Oreochromis niloticus: one gene and its partners. The protein of the gene in region 3 interacts with the protein of the main gene of each other region in a pairwise test. Links are inferred from orthologs where the notes say so. Each region holds a gene or a part of one and is shown on either strand. Other genes may lie near its edges. The genes, in order: pak5, cnnm3, fhl3a and sap30bp.

Region 1 (7,325 bases), on a different chromosome or scaffold from region 3:
GTGAAATGGCAGGCCTACAAAAAGGCTGCTTCAGTCTCGGAAAAAAAGAAACATTTGTCTCTTCAGTCTAGATGTGGATGCTGTCTGCATACAGATGTTAGCCCTGGGGCACTGAAACTAATACCATATGGCATAGCCTTCCTTTCACGTGCTTGATAGTGTCGATGGCAGGGCTGAATAATGGTTATTCCTTCATTCTTTATCAGTGTACAGGTTCAGATAAGAAGCAGCACTTTATCTACCTTTGCTTATTGGCTAAGGAATCCAATATTATGAGTGGTTTTTTTTTCCACAGTGGAGCTTGTTTTTTTCTGTTGTGTCAGTGTGTTATTACTCCACATCTCAATCCCGGCAAATTCATTCTGAATAGATGTGTTGGAGAGCTGCATATTTTTGAAGCCTGGACTCAGACAAAGGAGTTGGATGCAAGGAAACGATGCATCTTTGTCCGATAGTTGACTGTACCTGTGTTGTGTTTACCTAAAGTAGAGGCTGTCAAAATGTAAGATCAGGAAAAACATTTTTTTGAAACATTGAAACATGAATGCCCAGGATTCACTGAAATGATGGTCGGATGGTTTTAGTTTGGCTTCACGTGCTATAATAAATAATAAGAACTGGATTCTTGGTGAGGAAAAAAATAATAATGTAAAGATCAAAACTCAACAGCTTTACAGACCTCTTTATTAATTGTAAAAAATAATTAAATATATTTTTCAATGCAGTATTAAAGTAATTTATTATATTCCTTTGAATATAGGTTTGTTTAAAGCAGCTTTTTTTTTGGTTGTAATACCTCACTTGACCCCTGGGACGGGATAAAATTGGCATTAAAGGCTGAGTAGGGGTGACATAATCCAGCTCTCGTAATACATTCATGTTTGGCCTGAAGATTTGTCTTGTTTATTAAAACAGTCAACAGCTGAAGCAGCAGCAGCAGATGTGATGCATAATCATGCTTCCCACTTTTCGAAGACACCACTATGTCTGATGCCCATCACAAATCAGCAGTGGGCTGCAATAAAATCATGTTAAGTGCAACGCTGCTGTGCAGTAAAACAAGATTAATTGTTTGCACGATGACCGATATCAGCAGAGGGATAAAAAATGTAATTATATACTTGCTCTGGAGTAAGATGAATTGTTAGATCAACAGATAGAGTTATATTGTGCATATTGAGAAGGGCTAACATCCAAATGAGTTTTATGACTTAATAATCAACCTGTGGTCATAAACTAAATAAATGTATTATCAAAAGGATGAGTTGTAGTGGTGCCTGGGTTCAGTTTAAAACTTAGGAGCAATGATATTTGAAGGTGGAAGTATGGCTCCTTCACATTGTCTGATGGTATTTCGGGCTAACTGAAAGCAGCTCTAGTGCACACTGGAGGGATACTGTATCCGATCTTCCCTGGAAACGCCTAAGGAGGAGTTGGAGGTTGGGGCGGGGGAAGAGGATCTACTAATCTACTGAGCTTGCAGCAGAAGACCTAGACCTGAAAAAGTGGTCCTAAATGCATAGATCAGTCAGTCAGTCCCAGTTAACAACATCCTTTTCTCTCAAATGGCATGCAAACCTGGGTGGTCATGTTCAGCTGGTTTATACAAGAACATTTGTATTGATTGGTTCTTTATAAAGCAGTAATATTAAAAGGTTCTATTTTTTTGTGAGATTTCATCTTCGATTCACATAATAGTCGTTGAAAAGAAGAGACAGATTTAGTTTGGGGTCAGCCTTTTACACAGCTATACACATATATACATATAGACATGGTTACACATCTGCACACACGCTTTCTCAGGCAGTGATATGCAGTCTTCTGTCCTCAGGACTGCAAAGATCTCATTTAGATAACTCTCCTGATCTCTCGGTACCTCCCAGAGTCACCCTTCTTTGCTATATCCATCTATTATGTTATCACATGATGAGATAACAACTTTAGCTGATCCTTTCCCTCGATAGTGAGAGATCGGTGAGAGACCTGAAGAAAGCAGCTGACCTGGATATTTCCCTTTCGCAAATGTTTCTGTCATTTGCAGGGATTATGATTGCGTCAAGCATCACGTGCATCTGTATTGTGACAGCTACGATGTACCCGCTCATTAGACATGTGGAGGGTATTGATGCTCTTAAAGAGTGTGGTATTTAGCCAAATCAGCGTGAAATGCCATTATTTTAACCGTCTCTTTTACTTATATAGTCTGAAGCTTTCCGCCTCCAGAATGCTTATGTTGCCATCTCCATGTGCGACTGCGTATATAGGATGTGGAATTAAATTCACAGTCTTTCCTTAAATTAACCAGTGTTTTAATAGTGACAAACCACATGATAAAGACAATTATTTATTTATTTTTTGCATAACAACAAATTTTCCCTTCTGAACAAAGGAAAAAAAAAAACGATATAGTTTTTTATTGCATGAACTCCGAAAATTAGACCATTGCTTTAAATTGACCATTTAAGTTTTGAGTGTTTTGTTCTTCGAATGTTAAGAGCCAGTGACTGCAAATAATTTCAAACTGTTGCCCTAACAGTACTTGACATTTAGCATTTGATTTTACTGGTCTGTGGTTGTTAAGGGGAGTGGGACCATACTTCACTTTGAGAATGCCACAGAAAACTGCATGATGAGCGGCCTGACATACTGACATCTATAAGGCTGATAAATCAGTTAGAAAAATTACATACATCATTACATCCAGATATAATGATTCACAATCATCATCAGATGAAAAGCTGATATTTTGCAAAATAAGCCAAATTTATTTAATGACAAGTATTTATAGTTACGCCCCATTTACATGGGATTGGAGACCATTAAGGGGCCATCTGGCAACCATCTGGTGGATTCCACAAAAAGTTGGTGAGTGGTTGATGGAGGTTTCTGGCACTCACGTGTGTGAAATTGGTTGTAGAGAGATTTGTGGCGCTGCACCAAAAAACCTCCTTGTGCTTTGTGCTTTGGTTGCTAGCAGGTTGCAAGCTAGCAACCTGGAACACCCCAACTTGTCTGCAAACACTGGCAAAATTATTGCCAGGCAGAGGTGAACTGTGAAATGTGCAACGCAAACTGGAATATGGGATGGCTTGCCTTCAAACTTTGAGCTCTTTTGACATGGGTTGGGTTGCAGCAGTGACTGGCAAAGTAAAAACAGTCCTCATTTATCATGAGAACACAGATATGTCATACACTTGTTTGTTTCCTTTGTTCCCAAGTGATTAACCAAAAAGAACCCCAAATTGTCAGAGTTCACTCTTTTGAGGGAAAAAATGTATCCTGTAATATTTGTTTCAGGTCTTCAGGAAGAAATGGACCTTAAATTCTTGATGTAACATGACACAAATGCTTACAGTTAAATTTGTCTGCAGAAACACATTTCTTGTGTCTCATTTCCTGACCATTAAAACACATAGCAATGAGTACCTGCTAAAAATGAATGTTCTTTCAGGAGTTCATTGCATTCTTTGTGCCTCCAATTCAGTTTTTCAGTAATGCAGTAGGATGTGCTCCACATCCATGTGCAGCACAACCAGCAGCAATCTCTGTTCAAGCCTAAAAAGTACCGTATCATCAGCCTTGCGGTCCACGAGTATACATTAGATATACTAAACTTGCAGATTTCTTTCATCCCTTGGCTTTTGCTCAGGCTACCTTTTTTTTCATATTGGCATTATTTGAAAACAACAGTGCGTTCAATATTTTATTTGTATTTGGCCTGCTGCCTTGCATAGGTGTAATTTCCCATCCCCTCTTTCTCTCTCTCTGTAAGGGAAAAATGCTGTACAGTGTTATCCTGACAGCCTGGCACTGCTTCTGTGGGACTGTTTGCCCTCAGCACAAGGCCTGTCCACGGCTGCCACCGCTCAATGTCCCCTTCTTGTCGGCAAACGGCCAGACTGTCACAGTCTCTGACTGGACCAGCTGTTTTTTTTTCTCTCTTTCTTCCATCTTATCTCCTCCGTCACACTCTCTGTCTTCCTCCCTGTGACTTGCCGTGTGAAAGAGGCAGTGATAGGCCGCCTAGTGATGCAGCTCTTGACACAAACGTTGATATCCACACACGCTGGCATCGGTCGAAGACAGTTTTTATGTGTGTGTGTGTGTTGGCCAAAGCGACCAGCACACAAACACCATCCTGTGGATTGTGGGGACGCAGAGGACACTCACGCTCTGTTGTTTTTGTGCTTCTGTTGATGGACAAGTAAGTAGGAGGCGGACAGTGAAGGTCAGAGGCAGCTCAGTTTGGGACGCGGCCGGTCAGACCCAGTTAGACAAACAATAAACGTAAAATGGGATGGGTCCAGGCTTAAGCTGTCTGGCCGTGCCTCGGCCCGGGCTGCTGGCGTAGGCACTTTTTCGTGTCCTGTGCATCTCACATTGGGAGTTATCAGAGCATACAGGCAGGGTAGCATTACTAGTAACAGTTCGCCGGGGAACGCAGAGGGTCCCGAGTGTGACCTGATTTGTCAATTCGATGACTTCTCATAAGCATCGCTCCACCGGGGGGAATCATCAGCTTACAACTGGAGAGGTGGACTCGCTGTTCAGTGATTTTTGTGCAAAGAAAATTGAGGCGCATAATGGATTTGTCAGGAGTGTAATTTGACATCAAAGCGAAACATCTGAGGAGCACTTAATTGTCTGCCTCATTATGGCCTACCCAGAGAGCTTTGATTGGCTGAAAGAGACCGTCAGTTTGTTGCCAGGTAAGACCTCTGATTCACGCAGTCTGTGTGTAAAGGTATATTTATAATCAGAGCTGGAGCTTCCCATTGCTCCCAAAATCTTTAAACCTCATTTGAGAGAGGAATGTTACAAACTGTTGTGAACAGTGTGCAAATGATAAAAATCTTTTTTAAAAGCCTCTCCATCAGACCGAGTTGTTTACCGCTCGACGAAATACATCTTTCGGGAACGGAAGGTGAAATGCATGTCTGTGTAAACAGTTTTTGGAGCCAATTAAATCATCTGAAGGAACAGGGTGAAGAGAGAACAAGTGAATGCAAATGAGAGAGAAGTGAACAGCAGACAACAGAGCAGGGCAGGACAAAAGAGGAAGGAGGGGGAACAAAGACTACCTGTGAGGATGCAGGGACACATTTGCTTCTCACTTTGCTCATTTGCCACCACTTCAAGTAAAACTAAACAGAAACACGGGTAATTTCTTGAACACAAAGGGCAAACCGGGCTTAGGCTTTCACTATGAACCTGTTGACCTTTTAATTAAATTAGGAGTGCCTCCTATTCTCTGTAGGAACAAACAAAGTAGAGAGCATTGGCCCTCCCTCAGCTTGTTTATCAGAAGGCATTTATGTCCTTTTTCATGTTGCGTTTTAAATTATGTATGAAATGTATTTGCATATTTAATGCATGAGTGAATGCTCTGCGTCTCGATACCAAATTATGCTTCTAAATTACAATCTAAAGGACAGAAAATTAATGTGCTCTTTGGAAAACATGATGAATAGACTCTGCTGCCACAGAACATTAAAGCGTGCGCCAAAAATAGATACAGCGTGTATACAAGACACAGACAACACGAATGCTGACACACACACACGTGCAGACTCCCCGGTTCACTGCAGTGTGTGTGTCTGTTGAGGTGCTGTTGTACAGAAGGGGAAATGCCTGTGGAGGCTCAGATGGTGACAGATGGTTTGGAGACAAATCAGCCTGGGAGTCAGGATCTCTGCCCTGGGACCAGTAGCCCATTTAAGTGTGTTGGTGTATATAGCGTGTGTGTGTGGTTACTGTGAATCCCATTAAATGACGTTGAAGGCTAATTGTTAATACATTTGAATGCATTTGCATGAGCCTATGGATGGCTGAGCATCTTCCTTTTTTGCGTGTAGAGGATGTTAAATGTTATGTAATGCTTCTCGTAACATCAAATGTCATTGCTCTGACAGATTAAACGGTATGCAGGCATGTCGCACACCAGTGTGCTTTCTTTTTTAGATATTCACGCTTCCTTTTTTTATGAACAAATGAATACAACACACTCAGATATGAAGGTAAACAGTTTGATCACTTGTTTCCTCAGCATCCTAAACGATCTCTTTGTATGCAGTAGTGTCTGTCTGCTTAGCTTTTAGTAGTTGTGTAGCTTCTAAAAGAAATCAGTGTTTGCATTACAAACAGTACTCTGCTTATTACCGGTCGTTTTCAGCCATACCCATGTGTTGAGTTACAGTGGAAATAAAGAGGCAGGATGCTTTATTATAGCTTCATTAGCTGTTTGAGTAAACTGCTTATCCTTCTGTGCAGTGCGGTGAAAAATCGGATCGAGGCCGTTCACCACACACGCAGTCGCAGCTCACTGCAGTTCAGCACAGCTGGAATGACGGTTCTGCAAATCTCTAATCTCTGCCATATATTACCAGGTGCAGTTTTTCATCAGAGTGACATTGTTACTCTTTGGCGGGCTAACCTTGCAGGCATTAGTGTGAAACTTCTCAAAGTGCTTTACAATGCGCCCATAAATTACAGCTCGAGAGGTGCTCGTACGGCAGCCTGGAGAAGTTGTGCAGTAAGTAGTTCCTCTGGCTTCTGCGTGGCAGCAATTCCCAGTGGGCTCTACGCTTCAAGTACATCTCAGTCTGAACTTGTTTTGTGACTGTTGTGAGAAAGAAGCTGCTAAAAGCGCTGCAGGAGTACGTTTGGGCTGGGCGAGTACATGAACATGTGTCTCCATCTGCTGTCTAACACACGTTCAGTGCTGTGTTTATGTGTGTCTGTCTGCATGTGTTGTTGTGTCTCCTTACTGCTGAGCTTGGCCTTGACGACTTAAGTCCTGCTAGCCTTTAATAATCTTATTCCCGAGAAGTACCATCTAGGTCATGGGTTTCCACCTTCACTATGGGCTGCTTACCCACAAGTGCAAGAAGGAAAACAAAAGACATTTTGTCTTTTGTGAAAAGAAAGCTTGATTAAAATATCCCTCTCGTTTAGCTAAAGCTGTTTACTGTAATAGATTTTGTTCATATTGATAACACTGCTGGATTTACCACTACACACCTATTTAAAACAAAAATTGGTTTTCAGTTACCCTCAGACAGATAAAACAAACTAGCTAGCTTGCTAGCCGATTTTAAAAGTGCTAGCTATTTAGCTTGTTGTTTGGTTCAGTGTCTATAAATTACTTTGGTTCCTTTTAATCACTATTTTCTTGTCAAACAAGGACCAAGAGCTACATACAATCATTTGAAAAATAAACTTTTCACAGGATTAGAGTCTTGTGAAAAACTAGCATACACATACTACTTCTATAGGAATTAAAAGTGTATGTAACAGCTGGGTAATGCTAATCAAATGATTTACTA
Region 2 (7,500 bases), on a different chromosome or scaffold from region 3:
GCTGCCAATTCTACAGATACTCTGTTCAGATGAGGTAAATGCTGCCATGTCAAGTTTTTATGCCGTGTTTTTTTAAGCTGTTAAGTGAGTGTCGTGTTGCTGATCCCACCTCTCTTCCTCATAAATGGGCACACGGGTGTAACCACTCTGCATTATCTCAGACATAGTGGAGAAGTCTAGGACAGCCGAGCTAGGCAGCATGAAGCAGTCTTTCAGAGGTGTCAGGATGTCCTCCACAGTCTTAATGCGCAATGTCCCACGACTGAACTCCTCCTTTACAAACTCACTACAAACATAATGAAGAAAACAACTAAGTCAACAATCAAGTCAATTATCAAATCTTCTAGGCTAATCTTTAAGAACCAACTTCAAGTCAGGTCTCAAATCCTACAAATTTAATGCAGACTAGTCCTAAAAAAAGTCTATTGAACCAAGTTCAAGTCGAGTCTTAAATCTTTTGAAAATGAGTCTGAGTCCAGTCCCAAGACTTAATCTGTCTAAGGTGTTAATACAGTTAGGCCAATACACACATCAACCCTCACTTTGGATAGTCCAGGTAAAATGTAACGTTCTTTTAAAGGCAAGTCAAACTGAAGTCTCAAGTCTTCAAGAGTCTTGAGACTTAATCTGGTTCAAGCATCAAATTTTTACAGTGTTAGGCCAGGTCAGGTTTCAAATCATTACAAGGCTACTATGGGGTCAAATGTGAAGTCTGTTAAAAAAAACAAGTCTAAATTTCAAAATACTCTCAAGACTTTTAGGTCACGTGTGATTCAAGTTTCAGGTCTTTCATGGGCAAGTGTTAAGAAGAATATAACAATTGTGAAGTCTTTAAAAAGAAGTCCACCCTCAGAATAATCTCAAGTTTTTTGGACTAATCCAATTTGAATATCAAGTGTTTAGAGATCTAACCAAAGACAACCCCTAAAAAGTCAAGTCTTTCGGGTTCAAGTTACATTTCAAGTTTTTACGAATGATGTTCCTGTTAATCATTGGTTATGCGAACAGTACAAGAATGCAGTGGCCAAAATCACACAAAATGCTTCTGTTAAAGTAAACTGGCATTAATCATGAATCAAAGCATCTTAATGTGTCAAACATTTTAATCAAATATTAAACTCAAACTTAGCAAAAAGAGTCTGTGTCTGGAACACTAAATTGTTCCTGTATGTCAGTGAATCTAACATAATGTACCATAAGAATTATGCACTGTAGAGTATGACAGAACACACTTTTTGTTGGTTATGTCCTATAGTGTCTTTTTTTCTAGTTCTGTTTACTCTGTAGGTTCAGAAGCATCATTTGTGTTTTTCTTTCTTAAAAAAAACAAAAAACAAACAAATAGATTGCTTGATAACAGTTTTTTTTTTTTTTTTTGACCAAGTGTCAATACTCATCGCACCTCTATGTCAGATCTCTGTGATACTCTCCCAAGTCCACTATATTTACCTGTAAGGATCATTCACGTTTGCCCGTATCATCTCCATGGCCCTCTCCCTTATCCCACAGGTGCTGATGTCTCTCCTCAGCCCTAGATCCAGAATCAAGCCCAGAGGGCAAGACAGGGGGCAGGTAAGCACCATGCAAACCTGGGCCAGCCAGGTCAGACCAGGCGCTAGCTGGAAGCCGTAACCGGAGCACAAGATGTGAGGAGCCAGCTCAGCTAGGAAGAAGATAAGGAAGCCGCTGTTGAACACCGCAGAGGCGATGGAGCCCAGTGCCCGGTACAGGAGCACACCGAGGACAGAGTGCCCCAGAGCACACAGGAACAACAAAGAACATGCCTGCGGTGGAAAAGACATGCGTTTAGGAAACACTACTTCATTTGCACCTTTCTTTCCCTGTGGCTTCCCCACGTGCTTTTAGAAACTTACCATGAAGTTCCCCCTTCTCCTGATCGGCTCCAGCCGTTTGGCGGCTCGTTTCTCCTCCTCGGATCCACAGCTGTGTAGGACATAAAGCTCGACTGGGTCCAGCCACAAAAGGCTCAGGTTCACCGTCCTCAGCAATCCGCAGATCATAAGCACAAGCACTATCAGTACGGCCAGACCCCACGGCGGGATGTAGTCTGCAGGCAGATCCGTGTCGGTGTTTATTCGCAGTCTGTCCAGACCCGTAGATGTCCATTTCTCTCCACTCCACACACACAGGTGGTAGTATGTCTGCTCGTTGCCAGCTTCCCCCTCAGAGGTGCGAACCTCCACAGTTAGAAGCACGCTGTGCGCATCGTCGAGTTCTAAATTGGTCACCTTTAACTTGGAGTCCTGGCGGTTGGACTGCTGCTCGCAAGGGTCCAGTGTATCACCGACAGCTCCAGCCGCTCCGCCAGCTGCCCCTGCGAACTCGACCGACGGCAAGCTTCCATTCAGATTACACCCGAAGAGACGGAGCTTAAACGTGGCTCCTTTTGGTACTGAAATGATACGACCCTTCATGCACAGCGGATCCACTGGTTCTTCCAGTCGCAGCCCCAAAACCTGCGGAGCTTTCTGGCTGCAGGCGCCGTACCTGATTCCGCAGAACAACACTATCATCAACAGGAACCGTAGACCTGCCAGGCTGGCCACCATATTGGAATTGGTCAGCTTGGCTTTGCCTGGATCACGTGACTTTAGCCCCGCAGCGGCCCCACCCCCCGGGGGGTTGAGCCAACGAAGCAAAACAAACAGCGCAACTGAGCTGCGCGGCGGCCATTACGGTTCCAGACACGCGCGTACAGGCCTGATCCGCGAGTGTGGATGTGTCGTACATCTTGTTTTTATTGCGTCACATGCCTTTCAAGAAGAGCCGAGTGCAGCCTGTAGTGAATTTAAAACAGCGACAGACGCTCGCTCCCATCTTCTGTCACAATTTAAAACTGCATCACTTTGGGCCTCTTCTGTTAAACTAATACAGCTGTCAGTACTGGGAGAAAATATCACTTGTAGGCTGTTTGGACCTTTTTTTTTAGGCGGGCGGACGACCATGATGAGACCAAGGGGAAGCAAAACGGAAAACATGAACATAGGACAAGAACTACCAAAGTAAAACAGGAAACATGAGACAGTTCACAAAGACGCAGACTAACACGAAGCACAAAAACAAATGTAACTAGACGTGGAACCAGTGTTGCCAACTCCTCAGTAAGGAAAATCCCTATTGGTTGTCCTAAAAGTCGCTAGAAGTCGCTAAATGACGTCATCACCTAATTTGCATAATTGGTCATGCTAATGTAATTGTAACCTATGTTGTTGGAGAGAGAAATAACATCGTGGAAGAGACATAAAGTGAGTAAAAAACGTCCTAAATGCATTTAGAGTTTATTTAGAACTACAAATTAAATTTCTTTTAGCAATTATTGTTTTTTTTAATGTCACAATTCCAACCCTGCTCCTTTACCCGGGCTTGGACCGGCAAAAGTGGCCCGAAATAGGCACTCTGGTGGAGTTACTTTGTGTGTGTGTGTGTTTATAAGTAGTTTTAAACCTTGTGATCCACAAAACAGCATAAGAGTAAAAGAGTAAAAGAAGAACTGACTGTGTTACAGCACCCGCTGCTTGTTCAGAGTAAAAGCGATACGCGCTTTCACGTCTTTTTTAGCGACTTTTTAAAGAAAAAAAGTCGCTAGGGGGTCTGAAAACTCGCTAAATATAGCGACAAAGTCGCTAAGTTGGCAACACTGCGTGGAACATAGTTTTTGTCTGTATGTCATCAAATGAAAAATACAACAACTGAACAACCAGCTGTTAAGTAGCTAGATTCATTCCACTCCAAAAATCCAGTAGCTGGTCTCCTCAGCTCCCAGACGTTTACAGACTGTTGTCAAAAGAAGAGAGTGGTAAACATGTTTTATATGGGTTAATATTTCCTGTGCTCTTTAAAGATATTTAACCACCATTTGATGTGGTGGTTGTAGGTTGTAGGTGTCATAAGGATTTGCCTTTTAGATAGATAGATGCTATAAACGCCACCACTGTCACGTGAGCATTCAGGTGAAGCCCTGGGTTACCTTAGCGAGTTGATAACGAGCTTCATGTGACCATTTATCCTGATCGCGATTGTTAAGGTAAGTGAATCCAGATAACATAAAGATACCCTGAGTGTGTTGAACGAGATTTGTGACATAGGGTCCAGGTTAGGTTCCAGATTAGAGATTACCAGGTATAAAATCACCAGTTACTAACCAATCAGGTCTCCAGAAAGTGGTGCGACCACTGGAAGATTCCTTGGAGTTCTCCCGGAAAAGCAAGAGGATCAGTAGTGTCTAAAGTCTTTGTATTTCCTTGATGGTACTATACAGAGAGCCTCAGATGCAGCTTTACTGCTTGATTTTTTTCTGTAGGTAGCAGTTTTTCAACAGTATTGTTATTCTATAAACGCTAATATATTCTAACATAGGACAGAATCCTTGCTGAACTCAAAATCATACATAGATTAAGCTTATGTTTGAATTCTGTTTTTAAATTTAATCCTCTTTTTATATTTAATTCAACAGCATTAACTCCGCAACTGGAAGAATAAAAATAAAACTTTTGGGACTACATTATGTTATGTCTGGAAGTGCCATGTTTTACTGATTCTTTTATTTGCAACGTGCTAGTGCTTTATAGAATGTTAGCTGAGGCAGGGTGGGACCGGTAATATGGGTCAACAGTGCTACACGCAGCCCATTGGTTCATTTTCATTACCGACACTGGATTGCCCAATCAAATCTTTCAGCGCAACCGGCCTCTCCCGTACCTTCGCTGTGCCCTTACCCATCTTGTAAAACTGTGATAAGTGTGGAAGAAGTAGCGAAAAGGTGGAGCTAAAAAGCTGAAAGAGAAATAGAAACTAAAAATAAATGCAGCAAAATGTTTAACCGACATGTAGAATATGTGCTGCATCGTGAACTATATTACCCAGTAACAACTAGAAACCAGGCCTCACAGAGCGACAGAACAAGGTGTAATCAACGTGGTAACCAAATTGATAGAGGGACATAATCAAGGATTCAGGTAAAATGCGTGGATGCTTTGACCATGAGCCATACCTAATAGTTAAAGTGTAGCTTTTAAGTGTCATATGCTGCAGGGCAGTGAAACTAAGAGCTAACCAACAACAACTGGACCAACCTGATTATAAAGAAAGCCTCTCAATATCAATGAATTATGTACATAATCAATATAGATTTATTTTTGATGCATTTTTGTGAATGATCATGATTGGTCTCCTGGACAAAAAATGCCAGGCCCAATTTATTTGTGCCAGACTAGCCCTGCGCTAAGGGGATAGATTTTATGTGTGCAGGTTTGTTAAGCCGTACCTGAAATCACTGCAGCGCTACGGTTTTAATTTGATCATTTAGAAAATGTCATTATGCTCGATTCTAATCTCCTGCTGCTGGGATTGTAACTACTAGAATACAGGATTCACACCAAGAATACCTGTTAAATCAATCAAATTAATTCCACTTTGATCTACGACAAACTATTTCCATGTCTCCTTTATTAGACAATAAGCTTTAATGCTTAATTGTATCCTGTCTGAAATTTTAGAGCTCCAATGTACAGCATTCACCTCAGAAATAATCAGCAGCACTGAGAGTGCACTCGGTGATAAAATAATTAACTTGAATTAAAATGGCTAACCGTTGTTAGTTTTCCCCCAACAAGTCTTCTTGGAACAGCCACTGGCAGGGTGACTGTGCAGAGGTGTTGTAGTCCACAACAGAAGTGGAACACCACCAACTTGTTCATCTGTTTGATAAATTTTTCCACCTTACTGACACACCAGCTGAGGAAAAAACTCTGGTTTTTGGGAACCGTATACTTAGAAATGTGAAGCTAGAAACTCCAGCAACCCTTGTAAAATCCATTCCAGGGGCCAAAACAGGCAACAATGAATCCAATTACAAACTGCCGCCTAAGGATAAGCATAAATAAACATGCAATTCACATTGGCAGTAATGAAACCCTATTACATCAGTCAGAGGTCACTAAAATTAGCACTGGATCAGTGTGTAACTTCTAAAGTGAAATTGGACTCACATTGGAGTTTTGTTTTTTTTTTTGATACATTCTCCATTTTGACTAGCTAAGCGACAGCTAATTATCACCCTTCAACTGCTGGCTGACCAGGTGGTGTCCAGAAAACAATGTAAATTTTCTAGACAATTTTAAGACTTTGAGGAAAACTGAATTTTATTAGAACTAACTTTATCAAACCCACTCTGGATGTTCTAAGTCTGATTTCGAGAAATAAGGCCAAATGTATTAAACTATAACTGTAGTTCAATAAGGACACACACACACACACATATACACTCAAGCCCATAATTATTTATACCCATGGCAAATTTTGACTTAAAGATACTTTTATTGAACCAGCAAGTTTTTTTGACCAGAAATGACACGGATGTCTCCCAAAAGATAAGACTATGTACAAGAGGCATCATTGTGGAAAAAATATATATATTTCTCAGCTTTTGTTTACATTTTAGCAAAAGGTGTCATGTCCAGAATTATTCATACCCTTCTAAATAATCAGTATAGAAGCCTTTATTGGCTATTACAGCAATCAAACACTTCCTATAATTGCAGACCAGCTTTTTGCCCATTCATCTGAGCTTCAAATCTTTCAGTTGCCATTACTGTGATTATGTTCCCTGGTCCATTGCCCGAAAAACACCCCCAAAGCATTAGGTTCCCACCACCATGTTTAACAGTTGTGATGGTGTTCTTTGGGTTGAATGCTTCTCCTTTTTCACACCAAATGAAGGAAACATCATTGTGACCAAACAATTCAATTGTTTCATCTGACCATAAAACAGAAGACCAGAAGTCTTCTTCTTTGTCCAGATGAGGATTTGCAAAGACCAAGCAAGCTTTTGTATGCCTTATCTGGAGAAGTGGCGTCCTACTTGGTCTGCATTAGTGGAACCCAGCAGTGTGCAGTGTCTGCTGGACTGTCTGCCTTGAGACATTGCCACCAGCAGAGCCCAGATTCATCAGTATGGCCTTGGTGGTGATCCTTGGATTCTTTTTCACACCTCTCACTTTCCTCCTGGTCAGCACAGGTGTCACTTTTGGCTTCCAACCAAGTCCACAGTGCAGAACATGTTGTATTTTTTAATAATACTTTTCACTGTAGCAACTGGAACTTGAAAACAATTAGATATGGCCTCATAGTCCTTTCCTGACTTGTGAGCAGCCACAGGTCTTCACTGAGCTCCTTTATCTTAGCCATGACTGTCCACAACCCAACTGCAGAGAGCCGCTGTTTTTCACCTGTAGAGCAGATTAAAACAGCCGTTCCCAATTAATCAGGGTAATTAGTATGCTTTAGAACAGCTTGGACTATTTGGAATAGTCCATTTGGAACTTTGGGTTTTACCAGAGACTTTGTGAAGGGTGTGAATGATTCTAGACATGACACTTTTTGCTCAAATGTAAACAAAAGCTGAGAAATGCACATCGTCTTATTATATTATCTTTTGGGAGACACCTATGTCATTTCCAGTAAAAAAACAAAAACAAAACA
Region 3 (7,878 bases):
CTGGTGAGCCACGGCAGGGGTAAATACTACTTTGGAAATCAGGGACTTGTAACGAGCTGACACAAGAACAGGAGCACAACAGCTTGTGGGTTTGTTCATGGTCAGCAATGGAGGAATGCCCTTGCAGGGCAGATGCAGAGCCATTGGGTTTTCCGATATGACCTCGTAAAAATAACACTGCTGACATATTGTGAGGCTGCTGCACTCGGGGTGAGCTCAGGACTTTGGTATGTCTCCCCTGGCCGTGGTTGGTCTTCATCTGCAACGGGCCATTTGACCAACCCAGTCGAAAAATGCACGGGCTACAAATTTCTCCTGTGATTATTTAGTTGTATCTCCTAAGAGATTGAATAAGTTGTTGCTGTCAGCGGTGGAAAGTAGTGTTAAGGAAATTCTATTTACATCATTTCTATTTTCTAGTACTTTATTATTCTTAGATGGAAACATCAAACTTTTTACAACATCTGGCAGCTACACTTCAAACTGACTTTAGAATTCATTAGAGTGAACCCATTATGCCTATTTCTATATCCATAATGCCTTTTTCTTGGCACACAATTTAATATAATCCCTATTTACTTCATACCAGGACTTCATGCAGTTGCTCAATCATCTACTTTCAAGATGCTGTAGTTCTTCCCCCTTTAAGGAAACCTTAAGGCCAACTTTCTCCTGATTGGCTGCCTATTGCAAACAGAAGATGAAGATGTTTTCATGTAGTTAGCAATTCTGTCAAGCATCTTTCCTCTTATGAATTCCTCATATGGTTTAGTTTAGATAACTAAGTAAGTAAAATGACCCAACATTAAGAAGAAAAAAAATGAAATCAAAGAGGATTAATAAACAAAACAAGAAGAAACACTCAGTATTATATTATATAATAGCAGACATCATTTTACCCCAGAAGGATCCTTTGAGCACCCCAGATTTATCTTGTGACTGACATACTAGATAGTTTAAAAGCATTTATATTGATTCAGTCTAATGGTGTAACATATAGTAATGTGATGCCCACGGTACATATTGAATGCATAGCTTTTCCCTTGTAATAGAACAGTGTTACATTCTGCTTCTTTATGCCCAGTTCCCAGTAAATTACAACATAGGGGCACTACTGGGTGGGATTCTCACAATAGTAAGTTAACCACAAACTCTTGTAAAACAAAATTGTCTACTATTAAGTGTTGATATGGTGCTTATTTTCTCTGCTTGAGTTTTGAGAGTGTATATTGTGCCATAACTGGTTTTATACTCCAAGCAATCATGGCGGCAAAGTGTAGAAAAAAGGGGTAGGGTTTTTAGATGAGACCTGATGTGCTCTGTAAATAAGCTCTAATTGCTGATATCATCAAAAGCCTTTGTTTTTAAATCGATAGTCTTGTGATAGGTTATTTTGAGCTTATCTTTGATAGATGATAGATGGTGTACTCCACGTGCTTCTCTATCTAAAGCTACAAAGATATTGTAAATTCAATTTAAGTATCCAAACACCCTTTGATTTTGTGCTGTTTTGTGCCTCGCACCACTGAATATGACAATATTTTTATTACATTATAGCTGGATGTCACGATGTCCACTTGCCATCATGTATCTGGTGAAAACACACACAAATTGGTGCAGGACACATTTAGATATCACTCAAGTGGGGCATTTAGCAATTTAGTAACACCATTGGTCTTGTGCTCAGGGTCATGTTGTTCATTTGAGCTAATTTGCCTCAGATGTTTCAAAACCACACATCCAAGAAAAGAGCGTGGTGTGTGTAGCAATACACAATAATCAAGAAAATTCATTGCATAGCATTCACTTTAGACATTATGATCCATTTCTGTTCATGATCAAGTCACATTCAGTTGACTCATATTAAACCTTTAACTTGTTTTGCAAAACTAAAACATAAATGTTTAAGGTGAAGGTCACAGTTAACTTGGTTACAAAGTAAGAAACTCATCGGACTATCTCGACCACGATGAATTGACAGGCCTGTAATCCTGTAATTTGTTTCACACAGCCTGATGGGACCACGCCTCGGAGTGTAAAATTAGAATTCATAATTAGGGGGTTGCGTGGAAGTGAGGGGTCAAATGAGTGTGGATCACACTCTTTCAGTTTTCACAGAACCATGAAAAACAACGTGCCACATGGTCAGAGGGTTTTGTTTTAAACTTTAAGGTCAAGGTCAAGGTCAAATTTATTTATATAGCACATTTCAAACAGCCAATGCTGCACAAAGTGCTTAACAATATAAAAATGGCATTAAAAAGCAACAATGTAATACAATAATAACAATAAAAAACAATAATAGGACAATAAAAGAATTAAAACAATAACTAAAACTAATTCAAATAAGACCAAAATGCTTGGATCATAGTGTGTTAAAAGCCAGGGCATAAAAATGTGTCTTTAGTAATGATTTAACTTAATATGACTTTAACTTTAATGACTTTAACTTAATATGGGCTATCCTCTGTTGCTCGTCCATAAACAATCAAGAAACAACGATGCCATATTAAGTGAATCAAATTAGCAGGAATTTATATTGTAGTATTTAATACTTCTGAGCACTGGCTTTCTTGGAAAAGTCTTATTTGAAGGAGGAGCTTATTGACTGATCGCTGTTCTTATTTACTGATTGTCATTGAAGGGTGGTGGTACAGCTTACAGAAAGTATGTCCACAATCTAATACAAACATCTAGTCAGTTATTTATCATACAGTGAAGAGATGTTTTCATCTCTCTGCAATACATTTAAGTGAAATTTGCTTTAAATAGTGAGTTGAATCGCATAACAAATAGCTAACAGATAGCTGAGGATGGACACTTTTTCTTGATCAGAGAGTTTTAAGTTACTATGTTAGTGCCTTACAGCCAGAGGGCTTGTCAGATGGCTAAAACAGTATATGAAACCTTTTTGCCCTGCACACTGGCACATTTCTGAAACTGTCACTCCGCACACATCACCCAGAGACCAATCCTGTTTTGTTAGGTGGAAGTGAGAAAGCAGGATAGGTTTGAAATTCTCTTGCATGGTCTGTTTTTGTTGTTTGCAAAGCTGTTTGTGACACTTTTTATTGAAATGCAGTGTAACGTGAATAATGTCTCCCAGGAGAAAGCGTGCACCACTGTTCACATCTGTGTGGCATTGTGACGTTTTTTACTTGACCTTTATGTGGCCTTTGATTGAGGCCATCCTAAAATAAGAGTATCAAATAGCTTGCCTTGCAAGAAGCATATAAACCACAGTGAAGGTTCGAAAATTGAGATCATCAAACTGTGAGAAGATTAATTACTGGTTCAAGTCACAGATATGGTCATATGGTGCGGTGGCTATTATGGTCTTATCTCCGCCTTACTGAAAACTTGCAGAGCACCCTTAAAAGGAAAATCTGTGAGAGGGTCTTCAGTATAGCTGCAAACAGCAGCATGTAATAATAACAATACTGACATCCTTGAAATGAAGTCCTGCTATGAGCTTAAACAGTGGTTAAAAACAGCTTTTTTTGGCCACAGGATGAGCTTAGGGGCGGCATCAAAGCAGCATAGGCCAGTATGAGGTCGTCAAGGATTGCTTTGAACTGTGAACTGCAATACAAAGATATGCTAGTAGACTGAAAATATGGAGTTGGAAATTAGCACCACAGTTCTTTAATTACACACATTGAACTGTTAAATGTTGAGGTTTTTTTACCAATTCACAAACAGTTATTTTTTGAAAACTTTTCCTACAAAGAGTGTAGTCTTTGTGGTCTTTGCTATGTTTGAGCTGCTGCTGTGTATATGGTTGAATCCCTAACCACAGAAAGTGTATGGTGACTGCCGACCTGAACATAATGTACTGTTTATCATGCATGGAGGCACTTGTGCCAACGATACTGTGTTTAATGGGTTGGGAACATACTGATTCACTATAATGACTCAAATGGAGATATCAGGATCATTCACTGTATGACAAAACAGCAGCCAGCTGCATCCAGGGGAAAATGTCACTCCCACTTGTTGAGTCATGACAAAAAATGAAACATGGGGAGTGGAGAAATGACCCACACTTTAAAATAGGGAAGTGTAATTTAACAACTGGGTTTGCTCTTTACCCTTTTTGGTAATGTAACTGCATGAAAAGGTCAACAAATGTCACTTAAAAAGCAAGAGATTTGTGTGTTTTAGAAAAGCAAGAATGTCTTAATACATATCTAGGCTGCTTGCTGCTGTTCACTTTCACCAGTTAATATTTATACTTACACATTATTTAGACTATAGGAAATATAAAGTCTCTATTTGAACCCAAGTCATTAATATCTGGAATTGATCTGAGACCAAAATGTCAGAGCATTTTAATCCTATTATATGCATCCATTCATGCTTTATTTTTATTTATTTTTTTATGTTTTTATCGTAATGTATTTTATTTTTTCCCCCGCTTCTCCAGTTCAGGGTGCTGGCCTGGCTGGAGTCTATCCCAGCTCTCATAGAGTGGTCACGTCTCATGTGTATTAACTCTAAACATTGCATGGGAGGTTCACAGATACTTTCAAATTCATCTGACAGACTTTTTACTTCTGTCTCCTAGATGCTTGATTTATTTACTAACCGGCTGATTGCTTGTCAGAATTAATTAAGGAAGCTCGTGAGCAGTATCGCCTTCTCCAACATACTTATTGTAAGTAGGTGTTTCCTGTTAAGGATATTAACTCGGCTATAATATGTAATTCTACTAAAACTGACAGCAGCACGGAAAAAATAAGGCCCGGTTGGGATGTACCCTCCACTGCCTAGACTACTCTCAGGTCTCGTTTGAAGTCGCTGCAGGGAGGGAGGAAGGGAGGAATGTTTTTTGGGGGGGCGGGATCTTGTGACTCACCAGCAACTTCCTCAGTAGTAGGACAAAAGTAGCCGGCAAGCTGCATCCCTCTCTGCCGCAGAGGTTTATCAACAGTCAGAAGAAACACAAAAAGTTGCACAGTTGCGGGCGACACGTCGGAGGAGCGACCTGCGAACTGATCCCAGTCCTGATCTGAGCGAGTGGCTGCTGACACAGAGGAAGAGGCGGGTTACCACTTTGAAGTTGCAAAGGTGCCTCCAGACTTCAGAGACTCCTGGTAGGATTCAACTTTCTTTTAAAAATATATACAGATAGATAGTTATATACAGACTTTTCCCCTTCTTACTATCACGGTATTCCTTTTACTAAACGATGAATATACCTTTAAAACAGGAAATTACTTCGCTAAAGATGGATCATGGCAAAATAAAGTAACTTATACATACTGATTCTTGGTGAGGTATTCAGCTGAAAATACAATTCACAAAGAATCTCGAGTTTAAAGAACTTAAAGTGTTGTAATGACTAGTTGTGTCATTACTGTTTTATATTCAGTAAATTGATAATAAATAACAGCCTCTGATTGTGTCTCGTGGCAAAAGTTGACTCTTTGTGAAATGTGTTTTCAGCTGAATAGTAATCAGCTTACTGAAATACTGATTATTATTAGTTGCGTTTCATGTGGTTGAACTGGTAGCACTGCACTTAACTGCACAGTATGAGCTTCATGTATAATTTAACATCTTAAGATCACATTTACTCTGCACTTTTCATGTTGGGAATTGCAAGATAAGAGCAGGCTTGGGCTTGACATTATGACAAGTATTAATCCTTCACACCTTAGTCAAACACAGGGCCTGTGGATAAGCCTGCAAAGTAAAACCCAGAGACATGTCAGGGGGCCTGGATCTTTTCTGTCTGTCTATATGTTTTTCTCCTTTCTTTTCTTTTCTCCTTTCCTTTTCTTTGTTATTGTAAAACAGTATATGCATACATGCAAATGAGGCATAAAACAAATAATGTCCACTTAATGGAGAAACAGAGTGTGTGTTAGTTTGTGTGACCCACTGAACTGTGTCGAGGAAGGATTAAGAAGCAACTTTTGTACCACTGAAGCTCCCGGCTGAGCAACGTGTGAAGGCCTCACAGAGCAAAGTCCCTCGGGCTTAACTTGTCATTTCTCCAGCGGAACAAAGTGGGGTATGGCAGTGTGCGTCTGGGATGGGTGTGTCCGTACTGCAGCTTCGAGGTTTCTGTTGGGCGTGTATCGTGACATCATAATGCATAGTAGCAGTGTCATCCTTGTGGTGATTGTTTGGTGTTTCATCTGTTGTGTCATGCGGGTGCAGTGGGCATGCGGTGAGAGTAACGTGTTCACAAAGGGATAAAGTTTAATCCAAGGATTGAAGATGGAAATGGTGTTTATTTTTGTTTCTACAGCGTAAGCAGATTACAGACACAAAGTATTGTGTTTTGTCTTGGGTATAGTTGGAAGGGCTTTCAGGGACATAACAACTGCTCTTGTGCTGACACTACATGTGATGTCAAGTTACAAACTGAAGATGCAAATTCAGTTTTTCCATTGTGTTAGGAGGATATTTATTACATTGCATTGCCTGTAACAGATCGTTAACATACAAAGATTTGGTCAAGTTAAACTCTAACCATGCTTTGAATCACTAGGGATCTCAGAAACACAGAAACTATTGTGCAGCACTGACATATGGTATTGTCACCATATAAAGTTGATATGGCACTTACAGTTGCATATTTGCATATCCAGCAGATAAGGAACAGCACAGGCTTTTGTTTAGAGCTCTGAAGCTGGCCAAACAGTGATTATAGCTGGGATATTGACTTTCCTTTCTTAGTTTTGTTCTCTCAACTAGTTCCTCTTTGTTAGTTTTGTCTGTCTGGAACTCAGCAAGTAGTATACAGTCACACTTTCCAGCTTTAGCTGGGAATAGGGTTTAATGAGAGCAGAGATACGCAGTGAGCATAATAAAGTTAGGATGAGGACACGAGAAATGAGAAAATAATGAGGCAAAAATGCTGATACTCTTTGCAAATGAAGGAACCTGCAGATCTGGGTGATGTCTTTGTGATGAGCAACTGCTTATGCATAGTCTCTTGATCCATTGTTAAAATTAAAATATTATTAGATTTAAAGTAAGGGCTTGACTCCTGAAACCTAGTGGTTCCTTAAACACATGTGTCATTGCGGCACAGCTGAGGCCTAGGAGACAGAGGCAGTCCTCTACTAATTAGAAGGTCACTGGTTCAATCCCTGACTACTCTAGTCTGTATGCTGAAGTATCCTTGGGCAAGTTTTTGAGCCCTGAGTTTACCCCAGTGCATACATTGGTGTGTGAGTGTTGCTCATGATGGTTAGGCAAGGTGCTTATACATAAAGTAATGTGATGAAGACTTGTAGTAGAAAGTGCTTCGAGTCCTCATTTAATGCAGAAAAATGCTAAATGAATTATTAAATAAGGTGTGTTTTAATGCAAAGACAACAAATGTTCAAATCAGCATTAGATCCAGCACCCTTGTTTTCTTTGTGTCACTACAGAATTGAAGGGATGTGCTCTTTTTGAACGCTCATTGTGCTTTCACCATTGACAGGTTATGTTTGTTATTTTTACACAAATGCCTTGCCACAGTAACACGCAGAAGTAATACCCTAGTAACCAAAAGACAGTCATTCTGTCCCATTTAGCATCTGGGAAGCTTGCCTTGACAGAGCCCACGGGCTGTATAATGTATTTGTTTGCTTTTTTCCCTCTTCCTCTCTCCCTCTCTGTTTCATTGACCATGGTCACATTCTTCAGAGGTCTCAGTGTTTTCTAAAGGTTTCTCCCTGCATGGTGGTTGGACCATGGCCAGCTCTAAACTGTAGTGGGACTGCAGCTAAATGAATTGTCTGTAGCTAGTTTTATGTGTTGGCACCATTTGAAATAAGGCCAAGGATAATGATGGAGGAACTGGTGGTCAAGTGTTTGCAGGTGGTTTGAGAGCAGAATATAGATTTGTAAAGAAGTGGTTCTCCCCTGACATTT
Region 4 (7,211 bases), on a different chromosome or scaffold from region 3:
CAGTCAGTACGAAGCACGCGAGGCATAAGACTATCAAAATAAAACGAGGACTAACTAAAACTGAGACCCAGACTAAGCCTTACCAATTTGACACAGAGACAGATGATAAACACATGGACAAGGTAGAAGGAACAAAATGGGATTACAGAAGGGGATTAACAAACCTGTCATCAACTAAAGCAGACAGGGAACTAATGGCAAAGAAGAACAGGAAATTTGTAAGCACAAAGAGAGTAAAGATAACACCATAAACAGAAGGCTATGGAGCTCACACACAGATCCCATCACAAAAGCACAAACACAGAATGAACCTTCAGAGCAGGAGAACTGAACTAAAGGGACTCAGGAACCAAAGGAACAAATAACAGGAATAATAGGAAGCTAAATGTCAACACTAAAGAATACAGAGTCATAAAGATAAATAAGAGTATAAAACTAGAGAAAACTCAAACCCTGACACCTATATCACTAGGTTTTAGGTTTATCCAGATAATTTAAGGGTTAATTGTGGGTTATTCAGTAATATGAAGGCAGTTCACATAAAAGGTGGGGTATATGGTGGAGATAGGAAACCAATAGGTGTAAAATCACCAGTCACTTATTCCAAACAGTAGGTCTTTTCAAGTCTTACTGACCACTTAAAAGCACACAACAGTGCTTTTTTAATAACACACACATCCACGCTGGTTTGCCTGCAGCAGCTGTTTTTTGTGCTTGCGTTTAATAATAGTTAAACGTAAGTAGTTTTATGTTCTTCTGTAAAAATCAGTCACCCTGCTGCCAGTAGACTTATCCACTTTAAATGAACATGCTTGTAGCTAGATTAATAAGCTGTGGGTTGACTTGTTGAGTTGATAACCTCCTTCATGTGCCCAGGTACACTAAGCTTGCCTGAGTATGCTGTCCTTGCTTCACAGTATAGGACCCAGTAATTGTGTAGAAAATTTCTAGACTCAAAATTCTCTCCCAGCTTGTGCTAACCCCACCCCGTGTCTCTGTTTTGTTTTTTTCTCCCTCTGTCTTGTTTTCCTCCTCACAGCCACGGTTCTCTTCATGATATTACTCTCATGCATCCACTGCTGTTGTTTTACGAAGCCAAAGCACCAGCCCTCAAGAGTTCAACCCTTACACAACATCTGAGGAAGAGACAGGACAGAACACACCTAGAAACATCATCTCCATCCTTCTTCGGGCTTCTCTGGAAGAATTAAGTGGGTATCAAAAACAGGCAAGGATGGGAAGTTGGTGCCATGATATTTCCAGTACTGGATAAGGCTCCAGAGAGCCACACCACTGGAATCCAGCTGAGAGGCACAACTCATCAAGATTCATTATAAACCAAAACAATGAAACACTGTGTGGCAGAGTTTCATTGGCAAAGAGACACGGCAACAAAAGCTGATACGTCCTGAAATGTCACAGTGACTCAGTTATTACAAATGTGGTTTGCGATGCTGTTCACATTCATCAGGAATGTGAGAAACAACACGGACAGTGTACATTCCAACATGTATGTGTGCTCTGGACACAAAGTTCAACAGAAACATCGTTTTGTTCAAAAACAGAGCACCCTCTGCTGGCTCAGTGAAGCAAATCGTGCCAATGGAAAATGTGAATTATTCATTGTTTGATGCAACAGTTTTAAATGTATTCCCGTTATATTGTAAAATAGTAGTGTGACATACAGGAAAGGCAGTGTTTCTGAGACGCCACTTTTATGTGTTTTTGCTCCTTCTTGCTTTTGTAAATGTAACGGATGTTAAATACTTTAATTAAATAAACATTTCTTTGTTCTTATGCCTATTGTAGTCACCACAGTCTATTAGAGTGAGGATCAAAATGTCATCAGTGACTTGTTGCTCAATCGTGCACATTCCTTATCACCAGAATTCCTCTTTGCCATTGTGAGTTTAAACATTAACCATGAGCTGTTGCTTTTACTTTGAAATGGCAGTCACCTGGAAATACAAACAGGAACTGTGCTACGTTTGCATATTCAGAACACCACTCCTGTGCTCGAAGTGAAAGTAATCTGTTATTTTGGACTATTTAAAAAAAACCTTCTAGTTCGGCTCGTGGATCAGAAAAGCAGTTGAAGAGTCTAAGCTTTCTGTTGTCGTACTCTGCTGTGTTTTCACGTTCTGTTAAGACTCAGTGAGCCGTTCACTTGGCAGGACATGGCGGTGGAGAGGTGAGTTTTTGAAAATGAATATGCTAGGTGACGAAAGCCCTTAGCATCTGCAGATTAATGGGCCGTGCCAATAAGAATATAACATATCTGTTGCTTAGATATTTGGAGTGTGAAATAACTTTTTTTAGTTGGCAGATAATGTGCTTCTTTCAGCTCTTAGTGCCAAATGATGGTATTAATAAAAATTGTGTGAGTTGGTAAATATCAGGGCATATTTACCTGGTTTTCATCTGGCTGATCATTCTCTATACAGTGCACTAGACCAGCAGAAACCCACAGGGTCACCTGAGGACTGGGTGGAGTGGTTCCTTCATCGTATGCATCAGGAGCCGTGGGCACTAGGTGGTATTGCCGTCATTGGAGTGTTTGTCCTGGTAATTCTCTCTCTGGTCATCTTTGCTCTACTGTACGGATGCTGCCGCAGCTCAGGAGACAAGAACACGAAGAGAAGGCAGAAGAATTCAAAGGACAGAGTCATTTAAGTGTATTCAGATAAAAGAGAAAATGTACACTTTTCCACTTTTGAATTTCTTTGCTACATAGTATGGGACTCTTTTTTTAAGGCTTCTTCAACAAAAATTTGAATGAAATTAAAATGCCCATATATTTTTTCAGTATCCGCAAAAATGGCCGGACCACATCACAGACGGCAAACCATTGTTCCACTTTGTAACACGTCATTGCCAAGCAGCTGATTGTAAGAATTGTAAAATGGTGAATGGACTGGATTTTCTACTCTGAGCACTCAAACTACTTTTCACTACAAGAAGAAAATATTTCAATATTGCAGCTGTATGAAAAATAGCATGAACTGACACTAAAATCATAACCCTATTACACTAATAACTATTAAACCTTTTCTTCTAATTTATTCCAATTCCAATTTATTGTGATTTGAAATTATGCATAACCATTCTATCAGTCTACACAAATGTTTGTGTAAATTCATATGTTTATCTAGTGATTTTTTTTTACGCTCACACATAGTAAAAAGTGACTGTTTCAATGTGATTTCAGTGTGATTAAATATGCAACCAGGCTGGGGGATTATGATAATAAGACACACATGAATTCAATCTAGGTATTAAGGAAGGAAGGAAGGTAAAAGAACAATGGAGGGAAGTAAAAACACAGCCCTGTGAGAAACTAACCTTCAAAATAAAATGCAAAGGGAACTTAAAGAGACCCCCAAAAAGCACAGAACAGCTATGAGTAGAGAAGGGGGACAAAGAAAGCACACAGAAGAGTAAAATATTCAGAAACACAAGCATCAAAAAGTATGGCAACAGCAGAATCATAACAGCTTTATTCAAAACCACATCATATGTAATCAGGAGGAAAGAACAGCAATTTACTAGTTTTCGAATGAGTGCTTGCTCAAACCACTTCCTTTGGGTTATTAGTGAAGATGGATCACATTTGTTTCCCAAATGTTAATTAGTTCTTACAACTAGAGATTAAATATTCACAGCATTTCACAGAAATGCAAAATAACAAAATAATTTTTGTTATTAAACTCCTACTGGATACTGGGTGTTTGATCTGAAGGTTTGTTTGCTTTACAGTGGTGTATAAGACGTGTTGGTTTTTGTGCATCTAGTGTTTCTAGTATATCAAAAAAGTCAAATACCATGTTGTCAGATATTGCAGGAGGTGTATAGAACAGGTTATGTATGCAATAATGTGCAGCACAGGTTAAGTGCGTATGAAAGCAGAATACATTTTAAATGAGACTTTAAAAAGTCTTAGCATCACAACTGGACATATTAGTATAAAATCATTCAGATTTTATAAGTTTTGGTTGGCATAAATGTAGTTTAGTGTTTCGTGTCTGTGAAACAATACCTAGTACAATACCTACAATACCAAGTACATATGTTGGGTGTAAACTGTAACGGATGAATGCCTAAGAGATGTTTACACAAGTATTTTTAAAGCTTCTTCCTGGTACAACAATAGAATGACTACATTTCCCAGTGCCAGACCGGTTCCTTCGGTGTCTTACCGTTTTGATGACGTGAATATTCTGCGACCCACCGTTTATGCGATACTACACAGAAATGGCGAGCGGTAAAAAGAGTACGCTGCTGTCGTCTTTAGCGGTCTATGGAGATGATTCAGAGCCCGACTCTGACCCTGAACCAGAAGAATCAGGTATATAAAAGTATTTAACTTCCTTTCATACGTTTAATGACTATGAAATACTTTGCTGTAGTTCCGCCAGCCTTACTGCGGAACTTCATGTGGGAGCTAACGTTAGCATGTAGCTAGCTTAGTTAACGTACTTTCTAGATGATCTTCATGTTCATGTTGTTTTGTTCGTAAAAAATGATATGCGCATATTTCACTGGATGGTGTTGTTTTATTGAGAGAAACTTTTGCCAAACGGAAATTAACAAGCGTCTTTAATTAACCGAGGAGGGTGCGTTTTGTGTCAGGATACCAGGTTGTGTTCTTGACTCCGAAATGACCTCGTTCACTGGTGGGATTGCAACAATCTCAGAGGTGAGATTGCAACAATCTCACCAGTGGTGTATGTTGTGGTCAAAAAACAAAAAAGTCTAGTCTTATTCGTGGAAAACGTTTGCAAGTAACCAGTCTCTTTTTTAGAATCACCGTTCAAAACAACCGGCTCGATAGCGCAATCCCATTCATTTTAATGGACGGAAAGTTTGGAGGTAGTCGAGAGCCCAACTTTGAAAATGCTTAAAAAACACTGCATCTGAAATATATTTCTTCAACTCACCATTTTCAATCTGCACCCACTAATCAAACACGTTTTTCCTCAAAGACAACGGCTGTACACTTTTTTTTTTAACTGGATACATTTAAGGGAGATGAGTGTCATCAAACTGCCTAACAGAGTTTAAATACAGTTTCATGAAGGGCCTTTGAAGAAAAGCAAAGACAACCTTTTTCTTAACTTTCGCACAGTTTCACAGATATGTAGAGCAAAGTCTTATGATGCTCACAGATTTTTAAAACGGATGGAGCAAGCCACAGACCATGTCCGGCAGTAACAACAATCTCATTTCAATTTGTCCTCAAATTGCATAGACTGGTTAATGAAATCTTATGCTTGAGTCTTGATTTCTTTTGCAGAATGTGGGTAGTATATATATTTTTTTTCTAAATGTAGTATATTTTCCCGTAGTTGTGATCCACTGGCAGTTTTCATGTCGGCCTTATTATGTTTTTTTTCCCTCATATCGTCCTTTCTAAAAGAGCCAAAGCCTGTTTGTTGGCACACAGGGAACAAATGTACTGTTGATTTGTTTCTGGACTGCTGGATTATGACTTGTGACATAAGATCATTGTAATTCTAATTTTACTAACCCACATTGTAATTTGTTACTGGACAGAATAATTATCGGATTAATCTCAAATGAAAGTGGTCATTAGCTACAGATGGATGTGCATAATGTACTCCACTGGAAGCGACTACACCAGCAGTAAAACTGCTTTACATTAATAACCCATTGATAAAATATACATCAGTATTGTCCACTGAGCTCTTCTAATTTTAATGCTTAAAGTAAATTTCTTGAGAGTGAGAGACATATGACATGTGGTTGTTAGTTGGCACAGAAGCTTTCAGAGCAGGGATTCACGAGTAAGTGCCAATTTAGGGAGTCGGTAAAGTTTTCAGAGTATATTACCATTAGTGAGGTCCCAGTGTTGCCTTTAGTATAGGCAATGAGGGCTAGAACAGACAATTTAAAACTGAGGACGAACTCTTTCTTTGGCTATTTCCTGTTGTCTCATAGGCTGGCTTACTTTGAGGTTTCAATAGTTAGAATGATATCACTCATTAGTTATGTGTGAAATAAAAGAATGATTTTGCTGCTAGTGATGCCTAATTGATTTCTTTTACTTCTGTGTCTTTGACCCCCCCCCCCTTGCGATCAATAGGGGGGCGTGTAGGAAGCCTTGTGTATCGCTATGATGAGGATGACCTGAACCAAACCGTGGACCCAGAAGAAAAAGAGTCTGCAGATGAAGACAGCAGAGAAAACAACTCGGTCAGTTTTGAATTCTGTGCTTAGCTTTCTAGATTTTATTTTTACTCATCAATCAGTTCCATTCCACTGATGTCTCTAGCTGACAGGAAAACAGTTCACATGTTGTGTGGTCTCGGAGCATGTGTTATGTTTTGAGACATTGAATCTTCACTGAGTACAGAGGGGTTTGGAAGGCTGATTGCTTGGTTGGATCTGCATCATAATCAGGATCTTCCCACTACAAAATCAGCATCACCAAAGTACTTTTTTTTTCTCTTTTCTTTTCTTTAGTTTTAGGGTCACATTATTTGACTTCTTTTAAGCATAAATGCAATTTTTCAACATCCCCAAAAGTTGATTCTGTTTATCTGGATGTAGCGTTTTCAGTGGGAGAAATGTTTCGTCACTTATCCAAGTGTCTTCTTCAGTTTCAGCTGACTGCAGGTTTCCCCTATCTTATAAACAGTACATTTGCATAATGACTGAAACTAGCACCACTGAAGGAACAATGGGCTGGGAGGTCAGTTCCTTGATCATTAAGATGCAAATTCTCATGACCGTTGATCAAAGACCACTAATCAATGATGAAATCTTCAACATTAAAAGGCTAACGGTTGGTTAAGACAAACCATGGTTCCTCCTTTGTTTGATGTTGAATGCCACATATGTAGTCTTATCTATGCTTGCTTTATGCTTGACCTGGGATTGCATGAAGGCAATCCGTGGGTGGTCATTGATGGCCCGTCTGCCTGCAGAGAATGTTTGTGGTCAGATGGAGCCAGGGTTAAAAAAAACAACTTGCGATACAACTGATCTTTGAGCTAACTTGTCATGTTGTTGGTCTGTCAGCCAGCCTCAGAAAAGAGCGAACTTTCAATGTACAAAGAGCTGAAGATTAATAGTGTTTAAAATCAATGAAGTGTCCACTGCAGGCGCTGTCTGTACTTTTACCGTTTTTACAATCTTTGATTTTTCCACGCTTCTCCTATTCCCCGGTAATCTCTGCTGTCACACCCCTC

Evidence for each region.
Region 1: the proteins of fhl3a (region 3) and pak5 interact in a two-hybrid assay, tested with the Homo sapiens proteins (2 studies listed by BioGRID and IntAct). The two-hybrid records come from large-scale screens. The link is inferred for Oreochromis niloticus from reciprocal best matches to the Homo sapiens genes FHL3 and PAK5.
Region 2: the proteins of fhl3a (region 3) and cnnm3 interact in binary tests that used the Homo sapiens proteins (3 or more experiments, as listed by UniProt). The two-hybrid records come from large-scale screens. The link is inferred for Oreochromis niloticus from reciprocal best matches to the Homo sapiens genes FHL3 and CNNM3.
Region 4: the proteins of fhl3a (region 3) and sap30bp interact in binary tests that used the Homo sapiens proteins (3 or more experiments, as listed by UniProt). The two-hybrid records come from large-scale screens. The link is inferred for Oreochromis niloticus from reciprocal best matches to the Homo sapiens genes FHL3 and SAP30BP.

What each region holds. Positions count from the first base shown.
Region 1 is NC_031980.2:4,445,291-4,452,615, reverse strand, and holds the start of pak5 (serine/threonine-protein kinase PAK 5), read left to right. Parts: upstream 1-4,302; 5' UTR 4,303-4,654; coding exon 4,655-4,709; intron 4,710-7,325.
Region 2 is NC_031972.2:10,683,058-10,690,557, forward strand, and holds the start of cnnm3 (metal transporter CNNM3), read right to left. Parts: upstream 3,021-7,500; 5' UTR 2,571-3,020; coding exon 1,875-2,570; intron 1,785-1,874; coding exon 1,450-1,784; intron 287-1,449; coding exon 110-286; intron 1-109. UniProt on the Homo sapiens protein: Probable metal transporter.
Region 3 is NC_031976.2:27,158,419-27,166,296, reverse strand, and holds the start of fhl3a (four and a half LIM domains protein 3), read left to right. Parts: upstream 1-4,857; 5' UTR 4,858-5,096; intron 5,097-7,878. UniProt on the Homo sapiens protein: Recruited by SOX15 to FOXK1 promoters where it acts as a transcriptional coactivator of FOXK1.
Region 4 is NC_031973.2:25,197,114-25,204,324, reverse strand, and holds the start of sap30bp (SAP30-binding protein), read left to right. Parts: upstream 1-4,188; 5' UTR 4,189-4,233; coding exon 4,234-4,345; intron 4,346-6,103; coding exon 6,104-6,213; intron 6,214-7,211. UniProt on the Homo sapiens protein: Plays a role in transcriptional repression by promoting histone deacetylase activity, leading to deacetylation of histone H3.